Lonchura striata: one gene and its partner. The protein of the gene in region 2 interacts with the protein of the main gene of each other region in a pairwise test. Links are inferred from orthologs where the notes say so. Each region holds a gene or a part of one and is shown on either strand. Other genes may lie near its edges.

The links. The genes of interacting proteins can lie anywhere in the genome.
Region 1: the proteins of ANKS1A (region 2) and DOK3 interact in a two-hybrid assay, tested with the Homo sapiens proteins (2 studies listed by BioGRID and IntAct). The link is inferred for Lonchura striata from reciprocal best matches to the Homo sapiens genes ANKS1A and DOK3.

The regions. Positions count from the first base shown.
Region 1 is NC_134617.1:3,219,935-3,227,630, reverse strand, and holds DOK3 (docking protein 3), read left to right. Parts: upstream 1-3,610; coding exon 3,611-3,667; intron 3,668-4,952; coding exon 4,953-5,246; intron 5,247-5,368; coding exon 5,369-5,462; intron 5,463-5,547; coding exon 5,548-5,720; intron 5,721-5,800; coding exon 5,801-6,517; downstream 6,518-7,696. Other genes in the region: putative ATP-dependent RNA helicase DDX41, read left to right, coding at 1-21, 195-348, 443-579, 751-913, 1,002-1,133, 1,308-1,379, 1,599-1,695, 2,018-2,167 and 3 more. UniProt on the Homo sapiens protein: DOK proteins are enzymatically inert adaptor or scaffolding proteins. They provide a docking platform for the assembly of multimolecular signaling complexes. DOK3 is a negative regulator of JNK signaling in B-cells through interaction with INPP5D/SHIP1.
Region 2 is NC_134632.1:4,360,317-4,368,012, reverse strand, and holds the start of ANKS1A (ankyrin repeat and SAM domain-containing protein 1A), read right to left. Parts: upstream 3,671-7,696; 5' UTR 3,662-3,670; coding exon 3,465-3,661; intron 1-3,464. Other genes in the region: TAF11 (transcription initiation factor TFIID subunit 11), read left to right, coding at 4,255-4,422, 4,494-4,633, 4,767-4,854, 5,018-5,114, 5,693-5,823. UniProt on the Homo sapiens protein: Regulator of different signaling pathways. Regulates EPHA8 receptor tyrosine kinase signaling to control cell migration and neurite retraction.

The DNA of each region.
Region 1 (7,696 bases), on a different chromosome or scaffold from region 2:
GATCCAAGGCATCCCCACAATGTGAGTGCTCTGTCCCAACCTGGAGTACAGAGTGGTTGTTCCCACAGCCCACTCAAGGCTGCGGACCAGGCGCTCTTCCCTGGTGACACATGCACCCCGTCACCTTGCTGAGCCCTGGGGTTTGAGTTGTTCCATGATGTTTCTCCTCTCCATTGGCCCCGTTTCTCTGGCAGACTCTCAGGAAGGGATATGATTGGCATTGCATTCACTGGTTCTGGGAAGACCTTGGTGTTCACCCTCCCGGTGATCATGTTCTGCCTGGAGCAGGAGAAGAGGCTGCCATTCTCCAAGCGAGAGGGACCCTATGGACTCATCATCTGTCCCTCGGTGAGTGCCAGGACGAGCTGTGATTGACTTGCAGTGGCAATCCTAAATTCTACCTGCACAGAGGTGTAGGAATGAGCTGGTTTTGTCTCGGTAGCGGGAGCTGGCCCGGCAGACCCACGGCATCCTGGAGTACTACTGTCATCTGCTGCAGGAGGATGGGCTGCCCCCGCTGCGCTGCGCCCTCTGCATCGGGGGCATGTCTGTCAAGGAGCAGATGGAGACCATCAAACAGTAAGACCTGGGGGAGTCTGTGGGGCTGGAGCTGCTCTGTTTTCTGGCAGGGGCTAAGGAGTGTCACCCTGGCTTCAGGACACTGTCAGGGGGAAAATGGTGTGCCAGGGAGGTGTCCTGCATGGAGCAGGAATGCTGAGGGACTGACTGTGGCCTCCTCTCACCCCACAGTGGGGTACACATGATGGTGGCAACCCCTGGGCGCCTGATGGACCTGCTGCAGAAGAAGATGGTGAGCCTGGACATCTGCCGGTACCTGGCCTTGGATGAGGCTGACAGGATGATCGATATGGGCTTTGAGGGGGACATCCGTACCATCTTCTCCTACTTCAAGGTACTGAACTGCCACGGTAGGAGCACCCTGAAGCTCAGTCCTGCATATGCCAGATTGGGTGAGTACTAAAGGCTTTTTCCCTGTGCAGGGCCAGCGGCAAACCCTCCTCTTCAGTGCCACAATGCCCAAGAAAATCCAGAACTTCGCCAAGAGTGCCCTGGTGAAGCCCATCACCATTAACGTTGGGCGAGCGGGTGCTGCCAGCCTGGATGTTGTGCAGGTGAGGTGTTTGGGTGCTTCCTCGTGCCTGTGTGGGAGACCAGAAACATTCATGAGGGCACTTAATTTCTTTCTCTGCCAGGGAGCTGGAATTCATGGCCCTCCTTCCCAGTTAAGGGGTACCAAGCAGTGGCAGTTCCTCTGCTGCCTGACCCATGTCTCTGCTTGTTTCTAGGAAGTGGAGTACGTGAAAGAGGAGGCCAAGATGGTGTACCTGCTGGAGTGCCTGCAGAAGACCCCTCCACCTGTGAGTATGCTGGGGACAGTGTGGTCATGCTGGGGTGTGGGGGGAGTTGGGAGGAGGGACCCCCTGTGCGGAGTGGGCCTGTGACTGAGCCATGCTGGGGATCAGCAGTGCTGTGTGCTCTGCTCAGCAAGAGGGAGTGGGCTTCCCCCGGGGGCTGTGCTGGTGCCAGCAGTGCCAGCCTGCAGAAGGGGCTCTGAGACAATGCCTGTGCTGCTGCAGGTGCTGATCTTCGCAGAGAAGAAGGCAGATGTTGATGCAATCCACGAGTACCTGCTGCTCAAGGGTGTGGAAGCTGTGGCCATCCACGGAGGGAAAGGTCAGTGAGGGTCCCAGAGAGGCCTGGGTTCCTGGTGTGACCCCACTCCTGCCAGAATTGTGTGTGGCCACAGAAGGTCCCAGCCTGGAGCAGTTGTTGATGGTGTGAGGAAGGGCTGTGACAGTGTCAGGAGTGAGCTCCACGGTGTACATAGCAGGCATAAACACAGTGCAGATCCCTATGGGATGTGGAGGCCCCTCTGCTCCCTCACTGGGAGAAAGGCAGCCTGAGGAAGTGATGCTTGACTCTGAGGCCACAGTGTTTGCTGCAGTAGGTAGGGCTGGGAGCTCTGCCATGGCTGATCTCTGCTGGGCCTTTGCAGATCAGGAAGAACGGACAAAAGCCATTGAGGCCTTCCGGGATGGGAAGAAGGATGTCCTGGTTGCCACTGATGTCGCTTCCAAGGGCCTGGATTTCCCAGCCATCCAGCACGTCATCAACTACGACATGCCAGAGGAGATTGAGAACTATGGTAGGCACTGGGCCTTGTGGGAGGGCTCTGGAGGCCAGCAAGGCTCTGTGCCTGTCTCTGCAGTGTCTTGGGACAGGGATGCTCTGTCCCACTGTGCTCACCCGGGGCTGATCCTGTCCCTGTCTCTGCAGTTCACCGCATCGGGCGTACAGGCCGTTCAGGCAACACTGGCATTGCCACCACCTTCATCAACAAGGCCTGTGGTGAGGAACAGCACGGGGCTAGGGGCTGGAGGAGGCAGCTGGGCAGTGCCAGGGGGGTGTTCTGAGCAAGCAGAATGGCTTTGCCTGACCTGTGTCTGTGCCCCCAGATGAGTCAGTGCTGATGGACCTGAAGGCTCTGCTCCTGGAGGCGAAGCAAAAGGTGCCACCGGTGCTCCAGGTGCTGCACTGTGGGGACGAGACCATGCTGGACATCAATGGTGAGAGACCCCAGGCTGACACAGGGACCCCTGTGGGGCTGCTGCAAAACCTGGGCTCCAGACGGGACCCTCCAGCTCCCAGTGCCACAGCATTGGGAAGACACTGGTGTAGCCCCTTTGCTCTGGGGTGGGGGCTGCTGTCCTGGTGTGGCACTGTGCTGCCCTGGCGTGGCATTGTCCTGGCCCTGACCCCATCCCTCCCATTGCAGGTGAGCGGGGCTGTGCCTTCTGTGGTGGCCTGGGCCATCGCATCACCGACTGCCCCAAGCTGGAGGCCATGCAGACCAAGCAAGTCAGCAACATCGGCCGCAAGGACTACCTGGCCCACAGCTCTATGGACTTCTAGCCTGGACAATGTGCTGCCCCTGGGTGGGCCTGGGCTTCCTTTCAGCCTAGGGGCCTGTCTTGTACTGCTGTGGCCCCATTTCTAGAATTTTGGTCACTGGGACTTTGCCAGCTCAGGCCCTGCAGGAAATGTATGGAGCTGTGCTGCAACAGCCCATTACATCAGCGGTGTGTTGGGCAAGCAGGTAGCAGTGCCTCAGGGCAAGGGAAAGCCCCAGGTGGGGCCACTGGTCTGCTGCCTCTGCCAGCCCCCTGAAGTGGTGAGGTCATGGTCTTGTGTTGCTCCTCACAAATCCACCCAGTTTCTCTGGGCCCATCTCCCTCACCTGGATTTGTGCATTCTCAGGTGGCTGTTCCTGTCTCCCCAGACATGCTGGGAGGATGCAGCCAGGGTGAGGTGGAGCATGCTGTGCTCATGTCAGGCACTCCCCGAGGTGCTTCCTGTGCTCTGCCCCCGCGTTCTGCCCCACTGCCCTGCTGTGAGGGGGAGGGACAGGCACACGGACACCTCCTGCAGCCCAGCCTCTGCCCCCCATCCCACACCCCAAAAAGGGGAAGTCTCTCAGAGACGGAAGTCTGCCCCATGCCTTTCCTTCGACTGCAGCAGTCACATTTTCTCTGCTGCGGGTAGCCTGAGTCCCTTATCCTTGCGCTGGCTGCCCAGGTGAACTCGGCCCATGGAGAGACCAGTGAAGGATGGGATCCTTTATGTGCAGCACACCAAATTTGGAAAGGTAAAGGGTGGATTTGGGGTTGGTAGAGGGTTTGCTCTGATTTGACATGATGCTGGGCCTGGGGCTGGGCCCTTAGCAGCCTGAGAAGGGGCAACTGCAGCAGTGGGGGAGCCCTGGGCTCAGCAGCCCCATAAGTGGGGTTTTCCCGTGGGGCTGAGGGGACTCATCTGTGTGGGCACCCACTCTGGCTCACGTGTGTGTTGGGTTCTTCTTGCTTGGTCACCACGAGAGTCTCAATGGAAGAATAAACGTGTTAATATGGCGCAGCTTCAGCATCTGTGTGTGTGTGTGTGAGCAGGACCCTGGGCCAGCACGTGGGACGTGTCCCTGTGACCTCCATCGGCCTGGCCCTGTGGGGCCAGTGCCATACAGCAACACCCTCATGGCTTGGGCTGCTTCTCTGTGCTTTTGGAAGGGGCACTGAGTGCTGCAGCTCTTGGGGCAGGGTATGGGTGACATGGTGAGAGTACCTGGGGTCGGGCCAGCTCCAGAGAGCAGTTGGGTGTTGGCAAAGTAGGTTCTGCCGGCACACTGGTCACGCCATGGCAGGGTGGCCATGTCCTGTGGGGGTCTCAGTGGATGTGTGGGGCTGCAATCGCACTCTGACCTCCCTGCTGAAGAAGAACCAAGCCCTGAAAGTGCAGCAGGCAGCCGTGTGTGTGAAGAGCTGGTGCCCTGCCATGTAGGAGGCAGGTGGGCTGGGGGTGGTGGGTATTTTGGGTGCTTGGCTGCATGTGGTTCCTGCAGGGCGGAGGCTCTGCTGCACTTTTGAGGTACATGGTGGCACGCGCCCCCGCTATCCCATGACAGACTGGGAAGGTGCTGGTGCTACAGATGCTCCCCTGGGAGGAAGCAGGCTGCTGAGCAGATGTGAAGCTGCCAACAGGAGCCTTAGCAGCTCAAAATGGCTTTAATTTGCATCAGGGTCTGTCCTGAGAACAGCTCGAGAGCTCAGCTATAGGTCGGCAGGCCAGCACTTGCAGCAGGGAACAAAGAGCAGGACCTGGTGCTCAGGGAGCCAGGAGTGAGTGTGACTCACCCAGTGAGCCATGCCAAGCCTGCTCGGGGCAAGGCGCCCCTCTGCCCAGCTTTGTGCCTGCCCTGCCCCACAGTTCAGGGGTCTGTGCTGGCCCCTGTTCTCTGTGCCCTCCAACAGCATCTGGTGGGTGCAGGCCAGGACTCCCCAATGCCCCTCATGCCCTGTATGGAGGGCAGTGCTGCCAGATGCAGCAGCCAGCTCTTCACTGATCCATTTTTTCCCTGCTTTGCCCTTTCCATGCATTAGAGGTCCTGGAGGAAGATGAGAGCCCAGCTGTTCGCTGCCAGCCCGTCCGGCGTGGCCCGCATGGAGAAGTTTGATGTGCGGGATGATGGCACGATGCCAGAGAAGACATCCCTGCAGCGGTGTGCCCGCCGGGTGATCCGCCTCTCTGACTGCGTCTCTGTGGGCCCGGCGGGCACAGAGAGCTGCCCCAAAGCCACCGCTGCCTTCTACCTCACCACCACGGAGAAGAGCTATGTGCTGGCAGCCGAGCAGCGCGATGAATGGATCACCCAGCTCTGCCAGCTGGCTTTCCAGGTACCAAGGGGTCTGGCAGAGCCCAGAGCCCTACTTGGGTGAACTGCGAAGCTCCAGGGCAGGCAGGGGATTTGTCCTCCCCACCCCCTGTCCCAGGTCATACTCACATCTCTTTGTTTCAGGGTGCAAAAGAGACAGTGCCGAGTAGTGCCAGCACTCAGCCTGGCCCCGCTGTCCCCATGGAGGAGAACTCCCTCTACTCGTCCTGGCAGGACCGTACGTGCAGGGGTGGTGGAGAGGGCTGGGGTGGGCTGCAGCTCAGTCCTGCGGTGCTGACCTGTGGCTTGCTCGGCTCTCACAGTGACTGAATTCTTGGTGCTGGTGGTCCAGACAGACGCAGCCACCCGCTGTGGGCTGCACGGGCACTACCTGCTCTCAGCCCTTCCCCAGAGCCTGACGCTGAAGGACCCCCAGTCTCGCCAGCCTCTGCTCACCTGGCCCTACCCCTTCCTTCGCAAGTTTGGCCAGGATCAGGTGCGTTCCCCACTCCCTTTTGGGGCTGTTGCCTGCCCAGGGTGGGTGGCAGCCCCTCACTCTCGCCTCTGACCCTGCAGGCTGTCTTCTCCTTCGAGGCTGGCCGCCGCAGTGACTCCGGCGAGGGCACCTTCACCTTCAGCACCCCACGGGCCCCTGAGCTCTGCCGGGCTGTGGCTGCTGCCATTGCCTGCCAGCAGCAGGGCAAGGACACCCTGGACCCCAGACTCTTCTGTGTCTCAGAGCCCCAGCTCTTTGCACAGGGCCTTGAGCCCCAGCCCTGGGGGTCTGGGACCGATGATCCCCAGCCCAGCCCAGCCCTGGGGGGGACACAGCCCGCCTCCCACCCCCCTGCCAACCTTCTCCGCTTCACCCCACCAGAGCCGGAGGGCTCATGCCCCATCGTCTATGCCTCCATCGCCCGGGGCCAGCAGCCCCTCTTTGTGTCAGGGCAGCCAGGCTCTGGGGAGCCCTGGGCCGTGGGGAAGCCGCTCCCTGAGCATCTCTACGAGAACATCTTCACCGCAGAAGCACATCCAACCGGGGCCCAGGAAGAGGAGGAGGAAGGGCAGTGGGAGCTGGGGCGCCGGCAGGCCCCCGAGGGCCACAGCAGTGATGGGGGGCCCGTCTATGACAACCGGGCCGCCCTGGCACAGAACCCGCGGGCCGCGGGCTGGGGGCGCGCAGGGCAGGCGGCGCTGTCGGGGCGCTCCAGCCACAAGCCTCACAGCACCCTTCGGGCCAAGCTGGTGCGGCTGCTGAGCCGGGAGAGCCCCGGAGCGCGGGACTGGGCTTGATGTGGCCGGTGCCGTTCGGTCAATAAAGGCCCTGCCCGGACTCGGCTCCGCCGCTGCTGCCGGGGGCGGGGGGGGCGGGCGGGGGCAGCTCCAGCCTCCCCGCTAGGGGGCGCCGCCGCGCCCGCCCCGCCAGGCAGAGGCGCGCTCGGGGATTGGCCGAAGCGCCCGCTGGCTCCGCCTCCCCCCGGTCCTATATTAGTGGGGCCGGGCCGGGCGGGGGCGGTGCCCGGGTTCGAGTCCCGCGTCCGCCCGCTCCGCTCCGCTCCCGCCCGCTTCGCCGGGCCCCGCTGGCCGCGGGTGAGTCCGGGGAGCCGGGCCGTGCGGCTCCGTCCTCTGCCGGGGGGATGGGAGTGTGAGGGGTGGAGGGCTGGGGCTTGGCTTAACGGGAAAGCGGGTGGTCAGGGTCGGGCCCGTGTGGGGCAGAGCCGGCGTCCCCAGCCCCTGTAGGGGGGCGGCGGTGTGGGATGGGGAGGGGTCCCGAGGCGCCCCGGGGTAAGGGTGGGACCGCCCAGCAATAAGCAGGGCTGCCCAGCCTGTGCACGCCGGGGACCCCCGTGCAGTCGGGGAGGGTGTGGGGTCTCCGCCCGCCCCGTCCCGGCGCCTCGCTGGGGCTTGCGCGGCTCCCGGGCGCCGGGAATGCCTGACACGCAGCTCTTCCCCCGGCCCTCCCGAGCGGGGAGCGGGCTGGTGTCGTCTTACACGCCTTATATAGACCGCACCGGCCCGGGGAGAGCGGGGGCACGCTGGCCCCCGGCCCGTGCGAGGCGTGGGGAGCCCCGCCGCCGGCCCTGGCCGCCCTCGGCAGGAAGGTCCTGGGGCCGTTCGGAGGGGTCTGGCGGCTTCTTCCAGGTAAAAGGTGACGGGAGGCTGGTGCTGGCCCATCTGTCCGGAGCCTTGGCCGGCTGACAGCTGTCAGGCAGGGGAGTGCCGGGATTCCCTCCTGCCGAAGCCCCGGAGATGGGCTCGCTCCCAGGGAGCATCTGCTCGGCCGGCTGCCGGAGCGCCAGCCCCTCTTCTCTGCCAGGCGCCTCGGGTGGCATCACGCAGCTCCTGTGCTGCGGCTGCTGCTAATTCATCCGGCAAAAATGCTTCTGGTTCCTACCGTTCTGTACCTGCTGTTGATTCTCTGCGGTCTGAACAGCCTTGGCTCTCAGCAGCAGGAGTTCCTGGGGTGCTGCA
Region 2 (7,696 bases):
CCATCAGCAGCACCAGAACAAATAGCAAACCCCACTTTTAAATTTTTTCTGATTCCTAACCACCCTTGGACTGTTGGAAGCCACCTCAAGTGTTCTGCCATCCTGCCACATCACTCTTTAAACCAACCAGACCCCCTCACCAGCAGCAACAGCTGAAAATGGGCTGGAGCAAGGGTTGTGGCTTCTCTGGAGCAGCACTCGACCCTTCCCACAATAGACGTGCACCCAAACTCCTCATCCCCAGCAGAAGCATCTCCCTGATACGCTCCCTGGGGACTGCATATCCCATCTGGGGCTCAGCAGCAGCCTCAGCTTCCCCCTCTGGCAACACAGATCCAGACTTTTCACAGCAATAGATGGAAATAAAAAGCTGCTTCTGCAGCTTTGGCTTTAACACAACCCATCCCTCATTGCTCCTGGCAAAACCTCCTGAATGCAGCCTGATAGCTCAGCCACAGACTGTTTTGTTGTTTCCCACCCCTAACTTCACAGTAAACCACTAAAAAAAAAAAACCACAATACATCAAATTCTGCAGCCTCGATGCAGAAGTGGCTCATAACCCCAAGGAACCTCAAGGATTCACAGACCATCTCTGATTTCTGGACTTGCTGTTGCTCTTAAGCCTCAAGCTGTGCATGCACAGAGTGGGTTTTCTCTCTGGCTCCTCACACGGAGCTCCTGCCTGTGCCACGGTCCATGGCTGGAACCGGAGAAGCCGGGCCTGGCCAGGGAGCCAGGACCTGCTCCCACTGCTGGGCCAGGCCTGCAGCAGCTCCCCAGGCCCTGGCAGATCCCAGGGGCTGCGTGGACGCCAGCAGGGAGCCGAGCCTTCCAAAGCCTGGCAGCCATCACCTCTTTGTGAGCCCACCATCTGCTCTGGCAGATCCACACTCCCATTTCCCCCTCCTGCATCCTCCTCGTTTCCCCAGCTCTCTGTCAGCACTCCCCATTCCCATCAGCTTCCCATCAGGATTTATTCTCCTGCCCAGTGCCCTGAGTGTTGCACCTGGCACATTCACCCCTCCAGAGACTTAAATTGTCTTTGGAGCTCCTCCTCCTGTGGATTACCCCACTCCATCCCATTCTGTTTCCTGCTCACCTGCAGCCATAGGTGATTGGAATCTGTGCTGCCTCCACACCCAGCGGGCCCTGCTCAGCCTGGGAAGGAGCAGCACAGCCCAGACTGTGACAAAGTTCACATTTAACTGATAACAGACCAATGGCAATTCAGGTTACCTGATAAAACACCACATTGCAAGGAATTTACTGCCAGGGCCATCTTCTACCACTTCATGGAGCAGCACTTGCTCTCTTTGGAAGAGAAATGGCCCAAACCAGTGAGTGCCAGCTCAGAGCAGGTGCCAGCACAGCATGTACCAGGTGTAATGTGGGAATTCCAGGGAATGCCTGGTTTGTACCCCATCCAAAACTATATCTTTGAGACACTGGAAAGGCAGAACTGACAAAAAGAGCTGCAACAGGCACCTCAGGAGAGAAGAGCTTTGGGAGCAGGTTATCCAAACAGTGGGACTTAAACAGAAACTAAAATAGGGTCCTGAAATCAGGCAGAGAAAAGAACAAAGGTAGCAGCCCAGCAGAGTGTTTATGTTCCTGCTCTGGGAGTGGAGAGCAGCTCAGCAGCTCCTGTGTCAGGAGAGATCCTTACGGACACGAGGAGCCTTGGCAGGAGCAGGGATCAGCCTGAGCAGGGTCACGGGCTGCCCAAGGAAGGGAAAACACAGAGCACACAGGCCTGACTGAGGGCAGGCTTCTCCCCACAACCAAGGAGGGCAAAATCCTACATCAGAAAAGTTCCCATGTTCTAGCATTGGAAAAGGTGATGTTTTCTCCACCCTAAAATTCATCTGTCTGGTCCCTGCAGCCTGTCCCAGCCTGTCTCCTGCACTCCCTGGCCTCTCCTTGCAGGGACACTCAGCAGCTGCTTCTCATCAAAACCTCACCACGAGCTGGAGGAGTCCATAACAGAGCCAGAGCCCAGCAAGTGCTCGGGAGGTGGGAAACAGTCACAAAGCTCCTAAATAGCACCAGGTGGCAAACAGGACACGTTGCCATGCCCCACAGTGTGCAGCCAGACCAGGAACTGCTGTCACAGGCACAAATCCCAGCTGTACAGAGAAAGGGGCAGGTCCAGTGTCACCAGCAGCTACAGCCATGGTTGTGAGCATGGAAAACGAGTGACAGCTGTGACAGGCACCCTCCTTCAGGCTGTGCACGAAGCAGTGTCCACATGTGAGAAACAGTAACAGGTCAGAGCCAAAGGGACAGCCGGGCTCACTCTGGCACCACGGGACTGCTCCAGGACCATGGCACCACGGGCACTGTCCAGGAAAAGGCAGAAAAAGGCCCCATCGTGCCCAGGTGCTGTTGGGCACTGGCGGATCTGGTTCAGCTCACAGGGTGTTCAACTGCACTGAGCCACTGCACTGATCTGAGGCCCCTGTGGGCACATCCATCCCACTCCAACAAGGGCTCAGACTGTTTAATGTAGCAAAAGAGAAGAACAAAGCTCGACCCAAGGGTAGATTTACGTTTCAGAAAGGCAAACGTGTGCCCCAGGGCAGGGTGAGCTCTCGCATGCCTGCAAGCTTCTGCCACCAGCACAACCTGCAGGGATCCAACTGGTTTATGTGAAAGGAAAAACAGATGAAATTTGGCCAAAAAGGGGCAAGTCACATCTCTCTGAACAGCCAGGTTGTGTAGCAACAGTATCACTTGGCACTGGACACAAACCTCCTCCACACCTCCCGTACAAACCAACTGCTCAGGGACCAGGAGCATTCCCAAAGTGCCCAAAGCTGCAGCTCCAGCAGCGAGAGGTGATGCCAAAACACGAGGAAGAGAAACAAAAGTCCAAGAGCTTCAACCAGCAAATTCCACAGCATGGGGCTGAGGACGAGCCGAGCCCAGGCACGACAGAGTGTCACCGCCAGCCGCGACAATGCCAGCGCAGGGCCGGGACACCTCGCGAAAGTCATCCCGCAGCTCTGGCAGTGCGGGAGCCTCCCCGGGCACACCGCAGCTCCCAGCGCCGCAGCGGCTGGTGCCAGGGGGGACGGGCAGCACCCAGCGCTGGCACTGCCGGCTGCAGACAGCTCGAAAGTCACCCACTCCCCTCTCCGGAGGGCACAGCAGCCCGAGGAGCTCCCTCTGGCACGGCCCCCCGGCATCACCGGCCCCACCAAACGCTCAGGGGTGCGCAGCTCCCACGCCCCGCTGCAGTGTCCCGTCCCAGCCGGGGAGCAGAGCGGGGACAGACCCCGGCCTGCCCCGCAGCGCTGCGGCCCCAGCAGCCCCCTCGCTGCACCCCAAGATCCAAACCCCCCAGACGCCCCCAGCCCCACACACGCCACCCGCGGCTCCCGCTGCCCTCCCGGCCCGCAGCGCCGCAGCCAGCGGCAGCAGCCCCCGCCGGGCCGCGGATCCGTCCCCGGGCCGCGCTCACCTCAGCAGGCTGGACAGCGGGTGCCCCACACCGCCGCTCCCGCCGCTCCCGCCGCCGCCTCCCCCCGCCGAGCCGCCGCCGCCGCCCCCGCCGGAGCCGCCGAAGCCGGAGCTGAGGCGCTTCCCCGAGAGCAGCTTCTCCACGGCCGGGAGGTTCCCGGTGCGGGCGGCCTCCAGCAGCTCCTGCTCCTTCCCCATGGCCGGCGCGGCCCCGCCGCCCGCGCGACTTCCGGGGCGGGGCCGGGGCGGGCCGGGGCGGGGCCTCGGAGGGCGCGGCCCGACGGGCGGGGTTTGATGGATGGGCGGTGCGGGGGCGGGGAGCTGTAACGGCCACGCCCCCCGCGGTGCCCGCCGTGCCTCGGCCGCGCCCGTTTCGGGCGGCTCTGGGGAGTTTTCCCCGCGGGGCCGCCCTAGCGCCGTGTCCCGGCAGGGTCCAGGCGTGCGGAGGGCGGCTCGGAGCGGGGTTGGTCGGTCCGGGCGCGCAGAGCCCGGGGGTGAGGCCCGCACGGGGCCCCCTCCGCAGCCCCGCTGCCATGGCGACAAGCCCGGCCCCGCGCGTCATTAAGCTGCGCTGCCGAGTCGCTGTTGCCGCGGCAACAGGCACCGCCCTCGTTGTCATCGGGACGCGCTGTCGCACCTCCGTTGCCATGACTACAGACGCCGTGCCCCCCCGCCTCGCCGGTGCGCGTGCGTCATCACGAGGCGCCCCGCGTCACGTTCCCGTGGCGATAGGCCCCGCCCCTCGCGGCGCCCGCAGTGTTTCGTCATCAGGAGGCGCCGCGGGCGCGGCCATGGCGGACCCGGCCCGGGACGCGCTCGGTGCCGCCGCCGCTGTGCCGGAGCCGCCGCCCGCAGCCGCCTCCCCGCCCGAAGCGGCGGCCGCAGAGGCGGCGGGAGAAGGCGAGGTGCGGGAGGCTGGCGGCGGCAGCGAGCTGAAGGCGGAGGTGGCGGACGGGGAGGTGAGGCGGGAGCGGGAGCGGGGCCGGGGCGGGCGGCGGGGCCGCAGAACGAGCGCTGCGCTCCCGCCCAGGTGAGGAGCGCGGAGGGGGAGGCGGCGGACGCGGAGGAGCCGGGGCTGCAGGCGGGTGCGGCCCGGAAGGTGAAGCTGGAGCTGAAGGAGCGGAAGGAGAAGAAGCAGAAAGTGGACGAGGACGAGATCCAGAAGATGCAGTGAGTGCCTGCGGGTTCGGGAATCGTGGCCCCGGTGCCGCAGCCCCCTCCAGATCCCCCTCCCCGCCTTCCAGCCCGGCGCTCCCCGCTCCGGCCTCCGCGGGGCTGGGAGCGATCGCTGCGTGCCCCGCAGGATCCTGGTCTCCTCCTTCTCCGAGGAGCAGCTGAACCGCTACGAGATGTACCGGCGCTCTGCCTTCCCCAAGGCTGCCATCAAACGGGTACGAGAGCGGCCGGAGCCCCGGCGGGGCTGGGCCACGGCCGGTCCCGGGGGGCTCCAGCTCCAATCCCCGCAGCGGGAGCTGGGGCCGCGGCTCCCCGAGGGGCTGGATGGGCTGGGAGGTCACGGGGGTGGGGATCTGACTGTCCCTGTCCCTGTCCCAGCTCATCCAGTCCATCACCGGCACCTCCGTGTCCCAGAACGTCGTCATTGCCATGTCGGGCATCTCCAAGGTGTTTGTTGGGGAGGTGGTGGAAGAAGGTGAGTGGCACCTTGCTGAGAGGCTAGGGTGAATTCCCTGCTTGGAGCAGGGTGTGGAACAGGATTTTCATGGTTCTCCAGCAGCTCTGGCTCACAGCAGAAGCTGCCACAGCCCCTCTGATCCCCCAGCACTGCTGCTTCTCCTCAGGAAGAGAAGCTGGGCTGGCAACTCCGTCCCTCAGCCCCAGAGCAGCTGCATGATGGGGATGCCATTAGTGCTGCAGGGACAGAGTGGCTCCAAAGCCTCTAGACCTGCCCCAGTTCCTTTGTGGGATGAGCTCAGATCAGTTTGGGACAGGGAGCTGAGCCTGCTCTTTCTGCTCAGCTGTTGGGGCTCACAGCCCACCCACCCCCAGAGGCTCTGAGCTCCTCCACCCCCTCCACAGTTCCTGAGGGGTTCAGCAGCTTTTTGTCCTGCCTGCTGCCCTGGGACTCCTGTCAGGGAGGAGGAGCTGGTGCAAACCCCAAGCACAAACATTTCCTGTTCCTTCCCAACTGCACTGAAGCAGCAGCAGGGGCTGGGCAGAGCTCAGCTGGCCCCTGCCCTGACCTGTGTGTCTGTCTGTCTATCTGTCCAGCTTTGGATGTGTGTGAGAAGTGGGGGGAGCTGCCCCCCCTGCAGCCCAAGCACATGAGGGAGGCTGTCCGGAGGCTCAAGGCACGGGGGCAAATCCCCAACTCCAAGTACAAAAAGATCATTTTCCACTGAGAGAGGCTGAGATAAGCTTCCTGTAGGACCTTCCCACGTGGACTCTTCCCTAAGGCCCTTTTGGGGTGACCTGTGGGACCTCAAGGATGTTCCTGCTGTCCCTGCCTGTGCTGGGCAGAGCCTGGATGCACCCTTGACCTGGACTTTGGGGAGAGCAACATCCAGGGGCTGCAGAGCATTTTCTGCTGGCCCAGATGTGCCATCTGTGCCCAGATGTGTGGGTTTTCTTTTCAGTGCATTAAACTTATTCTTGTGTTCATAACCAGGCTGGGATCTGCTCTTTGTGTGACCCAAGGTGCTCCCAGAGCTGATTCCCTGGGAACATCTGAAATCAGGGTTCAGCTGTGCTTCCAAATCCAGAAGCTGCCCAAAAAACAGCAGCAGTGGGAAGAGAGGGGGAGGGAAAAGCAGGAAAAGAGGCCAGAGCCTGGAAGGAGGTTAATGAGTTTAATTCTGCTCGTGGTTCATAGAACCAATAAACCCATCAGTGGAAACAAACTGCAGCAAAGTTGCAATACTGCCTAAAATTCAAATTCAAGTTCAGACTTGCACATTGCCCCTGTCCCCTTCCAGGGGCCCTGGGAGCTGCTCCTGACCCTGTGAGAGGTGCTGAGACCACGTGCTCTCCCATGGCACCTGTGGGCTCTCACTGGAACAGAGGAAGAATCCTTAAATAAGAGGCTCCACAAAGTAAACTTTGATATTTACAATCTGTGGGGACCCAGGAGGTTTTGTCCTCCCACACGTGTGGGTTTTGGGTTACACTCCTTTTTACTGGGTCTTCAAAGCAAAGGAAATGCTTGAATTCTTCAACAAAACCCATTGACTGAAGTAGCTGGAGCAAGGAATTTGCTGTAAACAACCTGGCCCCAGCTCTGCTCAGCCTGCACACGTGGGAGGAGCTGTGGGACCCTGCAGCGTGGGCAAACCCTTGGCATACCCTTCCCATACTTACACAAAATGTCATGAAAATTTGAAAAAGCAGAAGAGAGAAACCTCCCATTTCCAAGCAATTAATGAAGAAAAAGCAGGAATACCGTGGCATTCCACCTCAGGCAAGCAGTTCTCAGAGCTCTTGCTCCCCACAGGCAGAGAGAGCAGCACAAAGGTTTGGTGAAACAAAATCCAGCTTCTGCTCTGGGCAGTTTCCAGCAGTGCTCACAGGGAGCTGCTCCACACTGGGGTGTTCCAGTGTTTTCCTTTTGGCATCAGGGCTAGCACGTGCAGCCCCTCAGCCCTGCTGAAAGGTTCCAGCCAGTGCTGAAAACTCCACAGCTCCTTCCTCAGCAGCCACGGCTGCTCCTCCTCCTCCCCACCGGGGAACTCGGGCACACAAAGTTCTGAGGAAAAGGTGCATCCAAAAAACACCCAGGTCATCTCCTTCTGAGACTGAACCAACTTCCCTCACCCCATTCTTTGATAGTAAACTTAAAGTTTAAACGGTGCCTTGTAAGGAATTAATTCCTGCCCCAATACATTGTGGGATTAAGTGGGAATGAACTGGACTAAGTCTCATACAGTACAACCATCTCTACACAAGGAATTACTAGTGGGAAAGGGAATCTGAAGGAATTTCTGTACTGTCTTGACCCTGTTCTTGTGGGAATAGTGAGCTGTGTGCCCTCGCTCCCCAGTGGGAGTCCCATCCCTGTTTGCAGTGACAGCAGCCCTGCTCTCCCAGCAGAGCCCTGACCTTTCTGCCACCCCATCCTATCACTGCCCAGCTGCTGAAGTGACCACCCTGCTCCTGCCGTGGCCCCTGGTGAGCACAGCTGGGCAAGAACACAACAAGGAAAGGTGAAAGAAGCAGAAACCCTAGCATGGAGCATCTCCAGATGTCAGCACAAAAGCTGGAAGCTGAAAGCCACCCACA